2 linked regions of the Arabidopsis thaliana genome follow. The protein of the gene in region 1 purifies or fractionates together with the protein of each later gene. This does not show direct contact. Each region holds a gene or a part of one and is shown on either strand. Other genes may lie near its edges.

Evidence for each region. The genes of interacting proteins can lie anywhere in the genome.
Region 2: the proteins of AT5G15980 (region 1) and AT3G18760 fractionate together in Arabidopsis thaliana (co-fractionation; one large-scale study listed by BioGRID). This does not show direct contact.

What each region holds. Positions count from the first base shown.
Region 1 is NC_003076.8:5,210,448-5,217,223, reverse strand, and holds AT5G15980 (Pentatricopeptide repeat (PPR) superfamily protein), read right to left. Parts: upstream 4,163-6,776; 5' UTR 3,935-4,162; coding exon 1,928-3,934; 3' UTR 1,550-1,927; downstream 1-1,549. Other genes in the region: KIN2 (stress-responsive protein (KIN2) / stress-induced protein (KIN2) / cold-responsive protein (COR6.6) / cold-regulated protein (COR6.6)), read right to left, coding at 4,783-4,857, 4,972-5,040, 5,202-5,258; KIN1 (stress-responsive protein (KIN1) / stress-induced protein (KIN1)), read right to left, coding at 6,751-6,776.
Region 2 is NC_003074.8:6,455,837-6,461,801, forward strand, and holds AT3G18760 (Translation elongation factor EF1B/ribosomal protein S6 family protein), read right to left. Parts: upstream 3,890-5,965; 5' UTR 3,723-3,889; coding exon 3,540-3,722; intron 2,331-3,539; coding exon 2,094-2,330; 3' UTR 1,841-2,093; downstream 1-1,840. Other genes in the region: WNK6 (with no lysine (K) kinase 6), read right to left, coding at 1-162, 251-478, 670-707, 908-994; AT3G18770 (Autophagy-related protein 13), read right to left, coding at 4,190-4,556, 5,077-5,258, 5,346-5,965.

The DNA.
Region 1 (6,776 bases):
ATGCAGTACTAAGATGATCAATTATTAGTAGCAGTAACCACAATATTTCTGATTCTTTCATGTGATCCGCTTATTTCGAAGAAACCATTCATGTCAACGGTTAAACACAAGATGATCAATTAAAATCTTACAATAATTTCAACTAAATTTCTATATTAAAAAATTGTTGACAAATTCATGACCACTGTTTTTATGGGACATTTGTGTTATAATTAAACATCTCATTAATGATATATATTACTTTTGAAATAGTTACATAATGAGTTTAATGCTTATGGATTGACCACCCAACACACCAACTGCTACTCCTATTCAACAACATGCATCATGGGATTTCATTTTAATTATTTTTTTGGTATAAACAAAACATCAACCTTTCATTTTCCATCACCCAATAGTGTCGCAACATTTTAACAAATCCAAATAATTTATTGAAACCATATAATGTTACAGCCACCTATTTATATGTCTAAATACTGATAGCCATATCTTAAGTTCATTCAATTTGAATTTTTTTTCTCAAGCTAAAAATTATACACGAATCTTAGGAATCATCACTCATGACTCATATATAGCTCAGTTCATATATATAAATCTTTTGTTGGGTTAAATATTAAGAACATTCAAATAGACCTTGTAACGAATTGAAGCAAAATCTTAAACTCGAAACATGCGTAAATATTAGATTCACATAAATCGGTCCCAAGCAAGCAGGTAACTAAGCGTGCTTACTTAGTGCTTACACCATTGATATCCTCTCTTTTTTCTTTATAGCTTTTTTTGCCGGGAAAGTGATTGAAACTTTGTCTCCTCGTTTTGAAAGTTGAAACCTTTAAACCTGTTTTTCTCTTTTGCCAAATTCCGACCTAAGAAAAAAAGAAGAAGCATATGGGATTGCTTCAAAAACCAGAAACCCGCCGGATGAATCCAAGTGTTTGAAACGGTCCCCTTTGTTAAATAGCAACTAATCATAGAGAAATGATGACACATCTCTCTCTTTTCTTTATTTCACTCTTTCACTCTTTTGTCTCATTTCTTGTAAGAACATTAATCAAAGCTTGTTGTCTTTTTATGTTGCTATGTCGCTCTCTCACCGATCTGTTCCTCCTCGTTCAGTCCTTTTTTCTCCACACTCTCTTCAGAAAATTTCAAAAGACTTTGCAGAGATGATGCTATTGACAATGAGAATGAAAACGGTGCAAGATTTCAAACATCCACATACAGAAGAATTACAGATCAAGATTGCACAAAACAGATCGATATAGATCGCGACAAAGATCAGCACTACAATGCAAGATGCAATTACTAAACGGACCGTGGTTTGTGGTCCTGTTTTTCTATCAATAATCAGAAAAGAACAAAGACTATGGAAAACTATCCTTGAGAGTTGAGTCTCTCTCTATGTTGGACTAGTTTTCGTATCTTAATCTTTCAGGCCCATGAGCCATGCATGTTTACAATAGGCTTGGTTGATTCTCTTCAACAAAAGGCACATCATTTACTTCTCAAATTATAAACTAAACAATGGGACTTTCATAAACAGATTTTCTCAACATCAAAGATCTTCCAATTTGATATTTGGTAATGTCAAGCACTAGTATCTGATCAATAGGCAATACATTAGTGCGGAGAAAAAGTTAAAAAGAGAACAGAGTTACAGACAGATCTTGTTAACAAATAATGATGATACACGGAACAATCCATGGCAGAGCCAAGAAGCATAAGATGATAAGCAAGTGGAATATAAAAAAACATAGTACCTTAAAATTATTTTGCCAGTGCACCAGGTTGATGAAGAAAGTTAACTGGTGACTGGTGAGTGATACATGTAAACAAAAGGGAACAGCAGGAAATATTCTGGCCAAATTATTTGAATCAAATGCCCAGAAACCAAAAAGACTTGAAGGAATGTAAACTAAAACTGGAGCTAAGCAGAAGCAGCCAAAGGTTTTTCTACAGCAGATTCGTTGGGTTTCATGGTATTGAAGAGTTCTAGAACATCCGGATTATTACGGATATAGTTTGGGCACAGAGAGAGTAAATCTTGTGCTTCACTGTGTCTTGCAGACTTCATCATAGTTTCGAATACACGCAGAACCACTGATATATATGGAAAGTTATTCGAGGTCATAGCCTTCAAAAAACCGAGAGCTTCAGTGCTTTTTCCAGTTGATGAGAAGTAACTCATGAAAGGGTCAATGAAAGGAGGGAACCCGTGATCTTTCATTATCGGTAGAAGACTCAAAGCTTCTTCAAACCCACCATCCCTTGCAATCTTCTTCGTCAACAGATTCGTCACCAAGCTTTTGTATGTGCTATGACGAGGTTTCAGTTGATTTTTCGTTACTTGTGCACTCAAAAGCTTGTATGCATCTCTTACTTGATTCTTGTTGCAATAAGCAAGAACCAACTTCTCAAATGAATAATCAGCATAGGAGACTCCCGTGTTTCCAACCATTTTCTCGAAACACACTAAAGCTTCATCAAGATTCCCGGAATCACAATACCCTTCAACAAGAGACGCCATTGCCTTGTCATCTAGATTGTTTCCGGATGATTCCATAAAGTCTACAAATTCATCAGCTTCGTCCTTCTTTCCCTTACGACTAAGACTTGATGCAATCATGCTCTGCATATCACCACTAGGAACATAGCCTCCTCTCTTCATTTCTTTCAACAGCTCATTGCTCTGTTCAACCCTATCCACGCTTCTCAAGGACTTTAAGACAGATTTCAGCAAGGAATCCGTCAAAGCATTACCATTTTTGGTATAAACTTTCACAGCTCTTGAAAACAAATCCATATCTAGAATCTTGGCAGTGACAATTTTCTTGAGCAACAAACAGAAGCAGTGTGGGGTGGGGTTGTTACTACTACTACTACCTGCCATTGCAATCTCAAACAAGTCAACAGCTTCCTTGATCAATTTAGTCTGGCAGAACCTCGTTGAAACTCTAACATAAGTCTCTATTTCCACTTCATAACCAGCACTCCTCATTTCTACTACAATGTTCTGAAATCTATCAAGAAACTTCTCTTTTCCCAAAACCCTAGCCATAGCATTATAGGTTTTCTCATCATGCTTAAAGAGATCAGACTCATCAATCCACCGGAAGAACAACAAAGCTTTCCTGGGTTCAACATCAAGACGTTCCACAATCATCTTCACTAAATCACTCTTAAACTCAACATTCAAATCTCTTACCCGTTTCTCTACATCATCACCCCATTCTTCCTTCATCACAATCTTACACACCCTATCGCAAACATTCTCCGCCGAATTATCTAAACAATCTGAAGTAAAAAGCTTTCTCAGCCTCAGCAAATCACTCTCCAGCCCATCTTTCTGAAATTTGTCACCCACTTTATCTCTAACATTAGCCGATAAACCATGCCCTTTCTTCTTCATCACATCAACCAACCCCCAAAACTCATCAACAAGTCCATTACCACCCAGAATCCGCAGCATCATGTTATAGTTCTTCGAGCTAAGTTCCTCAGGAGAAGCCTCCTTAATCCACTGGAAAAAACTTTTGGCAACATCAGGGTTTGATTCGAGCTTTCTCAAAACCTTCAAAGCTAAATCTTGGCTAATCACTACACCACTCGATTCCAACTCCTTCCTAATCTCATCCTCACCACTCAATCTACTAAAAATATCAATCACGGTAGCCTCAGCAGAAGATTTCTCTTCAACCGCAGGCTCGGACGAGAAGCTTCGACCCACTGATTTCACTAAGTTGCCAGAGCTCGTCATTGGGGATCGTAAGGGACAAAGTTGTTCACTTTGTTGCAAAGCTCCGATCCCAGGGTGAATGAAAGAAGAGAAAGATCGCGATGAAATGGAGGTTACCTGAGAACAAGGAGATAGATAAGGAAGATGAGAACGATGGTAGCTTCGAAGAAGCATCAATCGCCATTGTTGATATCTCATCTCGGATTTGAGCTGGGTTAACGAAACTAAAAAAGGGTATAGTGAAGTGGATTTGATCTGAATAGAAAAGCTTGATCCTTTACAGTTTACAAAGAAGCGAGACTGAAGAACAGCGATTGCGAAGCTCTGGGAAATGTTAGGGTTTTAGTGAGGATTTTGATTTTTGACTTTTTGAGGTAAACGAAACCATCTAAGGCAAAGAGAAGGTCCCATCACAATGACGCAGAGCAAACAAAAATAAAAACTTAATGATATGATAATTCGAGTTTAGCCCCTAGTTTTATTATAGCTACCAGTTTTTTCTCATATAGTTTTAATTGGATCAGTATTTACCATGACCATTGACCACAACGATTTCGAACTTCCTAACTTGCAAGGAATCCAGAATCATTGCCTTCATTTATTAATCTTTTGTTCTTATAAATATCCTACGGAAGTTCTAACTTCTAACTTGTTATTTTCGTGATCTCAATTTGAGTACTTTTAAGAATCTATCTTTGCCTTAATGTTATGACTTTTTAAGATATTTTTTTGCTTATGTGACCCTTATAATTCAACGTAGCCGAATTGAGAAATGGATGGACATAAAAGTCTATAAGCATTAAGTGCAATAAAAAAGAGGATGGTAAAACAAAGTTCTTAGAACTTAAACTAGATTTTGTTGATTAAACTTAAAGTTCCAAACGTAGTACATCTAAAGGGAGAAGAAACATTAAAACATTACAACACTAAAAACAACAACAAGTACGATGAGTACGAGAATCAATTATGACTCCCAAATTTTATTTGAAAATCCCAACAATTAATTAGAAAAGGGAAATTATAACTCCCAAAGTTGACTCGGATCGCTACTTGTTCAGGCCGGTCTTGTCCTTCACGAAGTTAACACCTCCCACTGCCGCATCCGATATACTCTTTCCCGCCTATAACATTTACATCAAACCATATGAAAATATCAGAAATCTGCGTAAATGTATGCTCTAAGAAGACTTTTCATTCTTTACATAAATGTCATAATGTGTGTATAGATCGTTTACCTGTTGCGCGGAAGCTCCAGCTGCAGCAGCAGCATCCTTGGCCTTGTCCAGCAGAACATTGCTCTTCTCCTATATAACAACCATGGTCAACACAAAATCAATTACATAATTACGACAAACTAAATTAAACAAGAAAATGGAAGTTCTAGGAGTGATCAAGTTTCAACTGTTTTCAAAGAGTTATAACTTGAACAATCTATCAGTACTCTGTTCTAAGAGAGAAAGAGTACCTCAGCTTTGCCAGCGGCCTGACCGGCTTGGAAGGCATTCTTGTTGGTCTCTGACATTTTTCAGATATTTTTTTCTTGTAAAATCGTTTTTGATGTGTGTTTTGTTTGTGATGGATTGAGAAGATATGTGGGCTTAAGGGTTTATATTTATAGGCCAAATGGAGATACTTGTGTGGTGCCACGTGTAATCTGAAACCACGTGGATTACGTTTAATGGTACGATCATTTTTGCCTTATGTCGGTAGCTTTTTATTGGCTGATCAAGACATCACGTGTCGTTTTAGTTTAGTTTATCAATTTGTTATAGAGGATATGAGACTCTTTCTGTGCGAGTGTGTGGTCCTCTCGCCTCCGTGTTTTCTTTTCGACTTTATTTATTAAGTTGAGTCTTTCAAGATATCTCGAATCCTCTATCTATATGTTATAGTAAAGATTTTCTTTTTAGTTTTTAACAATATAGCTTGCTCTATAGCTACAAATAGAAATATGTAACGTGGGGTTGTTGCATATGCGTTTGGCAAACATTTCGTGCTCTTCTTGGCGAAGAAATTAAAGAAAAAAAACTTTATTATTGAAAAAAAAATGGTGCCTTGTAGAAGGTGGGATAGTTAGATGCTACGTTTGGCAAGTTAAATGTTGTGTTTGCCGAACCTCCCGTATTTTCATGTTTTTTTTCTTTGATTTATAAAATAAAAATTGAAAATGTGTATATAAATTAGTTTTTGTGAATTAGTAACTTTCTACTCAAATCCAGTTTGGAGCCAGACATGTCATATAAGTTGTATATTTGTTGACAAGTTGAATCGTATTGACTTATTATTCGTTGGTTGCAACTAACAAGGTTTTGATGTCCGATCAGTAGTAAGCCCATGGTTTGGAGGTGCGGGGAAGGATACGTACCCTTTGGCCCAACAGTATGAAGTAATTCTTGTATGAACCACAATTATACCTAGATATTTTATTTGAGTTTATGTTTGCCAAAAACAAATAAAAAATGTTTGCCAATCCAAACAGTTCATGGTTGAATTCTACTTACAAAATGTACTTTTATTCTTCATTTTCCCATCATATTATGAATAATATGAATCCAGTACTACGATCGATATATTTTACCTTGTGTAACCAACACATCGTTGGTAATTGGTAAGACCATAAGAGTATGTACTGTATAAAGTTTTCTTTGCGTTTTTTTTTTTAGTTAGTTCTCCTATATCCATTATAACAATTATAGTGATTTCCTTCTGTGTGTTTGGAAGATTTAGTGTGTTTAATACAATTATAAGGACTGCATTTTTAGAAAACTTCAACAATTCGGATCGACTTATGTATCGTGATCCATTTAACATCGTTTGGGGAGTTTGATCTTTCGCATAAAGAATATTTTTTAAAATAGATAAAACATTATTTGAATATAAGTTTGGCTCGTCTAATAATTTTGCAATATATTTATATATATATAATGCAATTCTTGATCAAAGATCGTTTATTTGAAAATCCCAACAGTTAATTAGAAAAGGGAAATTATAACTCCCAAATTTGACCCGAATCGCTACTTGTTCAGGCCGGTCTTGTCCT
Region 2 (5,965 bases), on another chromosome or scaffold:
TTCACTTCTCCATGGTTTCCATTGATAAAAATGTTGTCGCATTTGAGATCCCGATGTATAATTGGTGGCTCTTGACCGTGAAGATATCTCAAACCCATTAAAATCTGCCTCGCCCAATTCTTGACGGCCTTCATGTTCACCTTCCTGTGTTTCTTGCGGTAGCTGAAACCAAAGATTTCTTAAACTCCATAACAGTGATCTCCTCAATAAGAAGAAAGGGAAAGAAAAAAAAAAGAAGAGAGATACATACTGCCGGAGGCTCCCTGAAGTGAATAGCTCAGTTATTATGTTAACAGTCTTGTTCTTATCATCGATCCATGAATTATAGAACCTAATAATATTATTGTGCTTCAATGATTTCAACAGACGCACTTCAGAATAGAGCCTCTCCAGGCAATTCGGTGACTGCAAAACATCATCTATCCGTACTTGGTTCCATGCGACTTCAATTCCATCTACTTCATCAAATGCCTTATAACTGATTTCCTTGAGTTAAGGTACAAACCAAAAAAGATGCAGAATATAGGAGAAAGATATTAATTCATTCTCGTAAAAGAGTTTCGAAAAACAAAATCACTAAAATGATATGAGTACATTTCTAGGAAGCTTCTGATATCAAGAATACTCTAAATCTCCGAAATAAATATGAAAACAAACCGAAAAGGATACACAGTCTTGAATGCCCCTTTTCCAATGACCTCTTTATACTGAAAGGTCCACAATTGATTGGTTAAGAACATCAGAGATCTAAATCACCTCACAATATTTACTCAAACCTTAACATTAAGAAGTAAAACAAGCCAAAGGGAGGTGGAACTTGGTTTCATAGTATCGACCAATTGAATGGTAAAACACTTAACAAATAGAAAAAAGATAGCATTCCAATTTCCAAAGAGCCTCTTCATACCCGTATATATCGAAAAGTTGGATCAACTTCGAGCACTTCGGGGTCAGGAGGCTCTTGAAGTGCAGAAGCATCATCTGTACCTTCCATTCTTTCTTAAACCTTGCAAAAGTTGACAACAGAAAACAAATCCATAAAAACACAGAACGATCATAGAAACCCTTTAGATTCTTTTGGGTGCAACACCTTGAAATAAAAAGAATTTCAAGGACAACAAGATACTCACACGCTAATTCAACTCTAAATCCAATTTTTTGTGAAACTTTTTAACCTTCGATTACTATCCAGCTCATATCAACAACAAAGACAAAACAGAACAAAAACAAAATTAAAGTAAAGCTCGTCAAAATTTAGGATCGTGACATAATTTTTATAAAAAACAATCCAATACTCTTCTTCTCAGATTATATTCTGTCAAAATATCCACATTCGACACAGGTATAAACAATTGACATGAACTATTTCATAATTTTGAGAGGAGAAAAAAAAAATGCATACATGAGTATACATTCATATACATTCACATCAATGCATACATTCATATGAACATAGAAAACACACGATTAAAAGATTTTCTCTCTCAAAAAAAAAAACGGTATAAGGCAACAGAATCGCGTAAATTTGTATTAATAAGATTCTGACGTTTCGATTATACCTGGAGAAACGAAGCTTTGTTCTGTAATTGAGACGAAACGGAGAAGGAGAACAACAATGGGAAGAAAAATCAGAACCCTAATTGAGAGAAATCGATGGATGAAGAAGAAGATGCAGCGACACGGGAAATTATAACAAGTGTTTGTTCTTAGCTCATTTACGAACCACCACCTCTATTTTAATTTCCTTCTTTTTTCCCAATATTAATTTTTAGAAATGATAATTTTTCCAAGTCCTAAAAACAGAGAAACGCTCTCCCCATGCAAATATGACGTGTCAATACACGTGGCATTTAATTCGGGGTTGTCAACCCAATTGATGACGTTGAATATCCACTAGGAAAATAGCGAAAACAATAAAACACATGAAATTTAGTTCAATTTACCTAAAAATTATTATTACATAAAATTAATTTATTTCATTGTCTACGCAAAACGCATACCACCACTTCATGTAACCAAAAACATTCATAACCATTGAAGGGGACTCCCATGAAGAAATTGTCTGAGTAAACATTTCAAAGAAATTGATTTCCTCATCGTGATAACCCTAAAATGTTGTTGTCATCTTCGTCCGAGGAGGATCCATCATATAAGCTCCCACTAGTGAGTCTGTTAGGCACAGTCAGACTATCTTCCTTTTCCGACTGTCCAATCTTGATGTCACGGTGTTTAACTAAGAGCCAGCGCAGCAGTTTGTCTTCCTTGTTCAGGTAGTGAAGCTCCTTGTTCATGTTTGGAGTTGTCATCATTGTTATCTGCATCAATTGTCCCTGCAAAACATTCACCCGATATGAAGGCAGAAAACACTTAGCAAACGCATGACTCTGCAGATTAGTAAGAGAGGAAAGCTAATAAAAGTGGATGTTCAATTTTCACTCTCTGCAGATTCTATCAAAAATACATAGGAGATTGATGTTTAAAGCTTTTGTACTGATACTCTCAAAACATATGATAATCCTACATCTATAGTTGATCGAAACAAATGTATCCCGTTACTTCCTAGGTATGTATGAATTATATATTCTCCTTCTGTTCCTATATAGCCAAATTGTCTAATAACAGAAACAGTTTGAAGAAAATGTATAAGCGAAAGCTGCGATTATTTGTACCAGGTTATCTTACAAGTAATCAAATTTCAAACTGAAGATCCAAAGCACAATCAAATTCTTTGGACAATTCAGTAGATAAGAACTTATCTAGAATCCTAGCTGTTGTATTACCCTCATCAGGATTTTCTGGAATCTTAAGTTCGAAAGGAAACACTGTCGAGGAAATGAAAATCTACAAAATACCATAGACTAAACGCAACGTTTGTGACTAGTAAGAAATCACAAAACAAGTATCACTTCAGGATCGTAGCCAGTATTTGTGTACAAGACCGCATAATTTCCCCCAAGTCCAGCTATTTAACCATAAGAATCAATCAGAAAGTTACAAGACACAAAGCTTTTTCGAAAGGCCAACCTAAAACATAATGCTAATAATAAGATTGCTTATCTATCTACGGTTATAGCATCAAACTAATAATCAAACTCCACACTGAAGATCCAAAGCAAAATCAAGCTCTTTGAACAATTGACTAAGATAGGAACCATTCTAGAATCCTACTGTTCTGTTATCCTCATCAGGATTTTATAAATCGGGTAGACAAAATCACGCAAAAACAACCTTTACTAGTAACAATATGATGATTTTGCTTCAAGAATCCAACTGAAAGTTAAACTAAGCGTAAGTAATCTGGGCGAAAGAAGTATCAGTCCATGGTCGTAGCAAGCATTTGAGTAAAATGACTGTATAAATTCCCAAAATCTAGCTATCTAACCATAAGAATCGATCAGAAAGATGAAAAAGACAAAGCTAACACAAACCTAAACTAAAATGCTAATACCATTGAATCGGCCTGGAGAAAATCCTGATCAAACAAACTCTACGGACTCATAAACCATCGATTCAGTAAGAAAACTAACGAAATTGAATACCTGATAGTGTCTTCCGTCGAGCTTTCTAATACCGTAACCCAATTCGACCTTGCCAAAGGATTTGATCTCGGTGAGGACGCCATTTCTGCTGTAAACGTGTTTACCAATGCGCGCAACGAGGTCGATGAGGCCCTCCTTCCTGATTATAGGCTTGAACAGAAGCATACAGTCGTAGAGCGGCATTTTTGATCCTTCTTCCTTCCGACAAGAGATTAGCTCTGGCTTGTTCTCTCAGGTTTACCTTAGGGTTTTAGTCTTCTCAGATTTCGCCGATTGGGTCATTACCAAACGGCGACGTGTTGTTAAGTTTTTTTTAGTGAAAACGACATCGTGTTGCTATATATATTATTTTTGTCTGAGAGTTCTTAAATTTGATTTGGAAAATGAAATAAGAAATTGTAGAAAGCTTTCATATTAGTTGACAACAAATGAAAGCTTTGTAATGATTATAAATAGTAGTTAACATATGTTTACCATTTTATTTACATGGAATTTTTTTTCTTTTTTTCCTGGGTATAAGTTTATTTACATGGACCAATATCATCCAAAGAGTAGAGAGCTTAATATTATTTACATAGGCACACATTATATGAAAAAAAAAAAAAAAAAAAAACAAACCGAAACCCAAAATGGGTCAAGATTCTGAAACATCAAACATCAAAGGGTGAAGTAATAGTAACCGAGGAAGGGTTTGATGTGGATTGACCAAGCAACAAATGATTCTTCATTTCTTTGTAAGACCTCAACTCTTCCAAAGCATCAGCTGTTGTCTTTGAGGCCAGAGCAATCCCCGAGGCTGTGATAGACGCTACTGCTATCTCATGAGCCCCTGCGGGTTTGTTGTTGTTCGAGCAAATTTCAGGTCTGGAAGATTCAGAGACATCTTGTCTGAGAGGTGGCGCTTTCTTCAGCATTCTCACAAGGGCACCAACTGCAGCATCTTGGGACTTCTTCGGGTATGACCCGCTTGAATCGAATGGTTCATGTATGTCTCCTCTGTGGTCAAACGACCCTGGTCTGAAATAAGGCAGTAAACCAAAAATCAGTTTCTTCTACTGGAAACAGTTACAAAACAAAGTCTCAAGAACTGAATCAGAAACCTTGAGACGAACCATTTCAAGTCATTATATGATTAACTTATTATCCCCAAATATATCATGATATTAGTGATAGAGAAGAGTTACGATTTCTTGGTTTCTCTACTAAACAGTTCTCTTTCTTCTTTTTAAAAGATCAGTACAAGAATACCCCAAGATTGATCGAAGCTACACAGATACAGAAGCATTACAGTAACCATTTCGGTCTTATGGCTGTAAAATCTCAAAGAAAGAAAGAACATGAACTAGCTTCTTAAGCCCTACTGATTAGCATAAGAGGCCAGGATTAGTAAATCACTTATTTAGAAAGTCAATTGGTTTTGAAATATAATAGCTATCCACTTAGAAGGACAACCTAAAGCAATCAAAATATTAAATGCTTGGGCTGTAGATAAATTGGAAAGGAGAAAATGAGATATGTAAGGTTTTTAAGACCATACCTGCTATTCCGATCTGTAATATCATCATACTCAACATCAAATGGGCAAGGGAAATCAGGATCATCAAAATCGTCTTGGAAAGATCTACTGGAACTCCGGGAAAATGATATCCGCGGAGAACTGCTGGAAGACGGCCTCACCCCAGAAGGTCTTCTAAAGTCATCTCTCCCATAAAGAAACAGCTAGAAGGATAATGAATATCAGTTTAACTCGTTAAGTCACATGATCAAGAAAACAGATAAAAGATAAGACATGTGGAGTACGTTTACCTTATCTATTGCTGCTCCAGATTCACCAGGACCCAAGTTTCTCACAGGCTTCAACGAAGCGTGTCTCGACAACTTCAGATGAGCAGAAGGTGCCACAACGTTTTCTTTGGACTGGAAAGTTGGAGCTGGTATTCTGACTGGAGCACTTTCAGTACGTGTGATGCCTCTTGGGACGGCGTGTTTTGGTGCTGAAGGAGAAGGAGGAGGGGAGAAATCTTGACAAGGAGAATACTCTTCGGGGTAGCTTTCCTTCCTACGACCAGTGGGTATATCAGAAGGGTGAGGAGGAAGATGACGAGAGCAAGGATGTGAAACCAATGCATGTGAATCCGAGCGTGTAGGCGATGGTGAGCAAGAAACAGAAGGTGGAGATGCCTTGTAACGATCGAAACTCCAGCTATGGCGCCTTTGAAATGGCAGCAATGGAGGAGAACCATATGAAAGAGGAAGGGAAGGGAACCTCTTTAAAGGATCAGCCAAGGGACTTCCAACATAATCGGTTATAAATGTTGGAGACATAGGTGTAGAGTGTTCGCAACTGACATCTGAGAGAGAACGATATAAAACCGATAAGCAAAGTCTACCACAGATCGTTTCAACCGGTGTGAAAGAAAACTTCT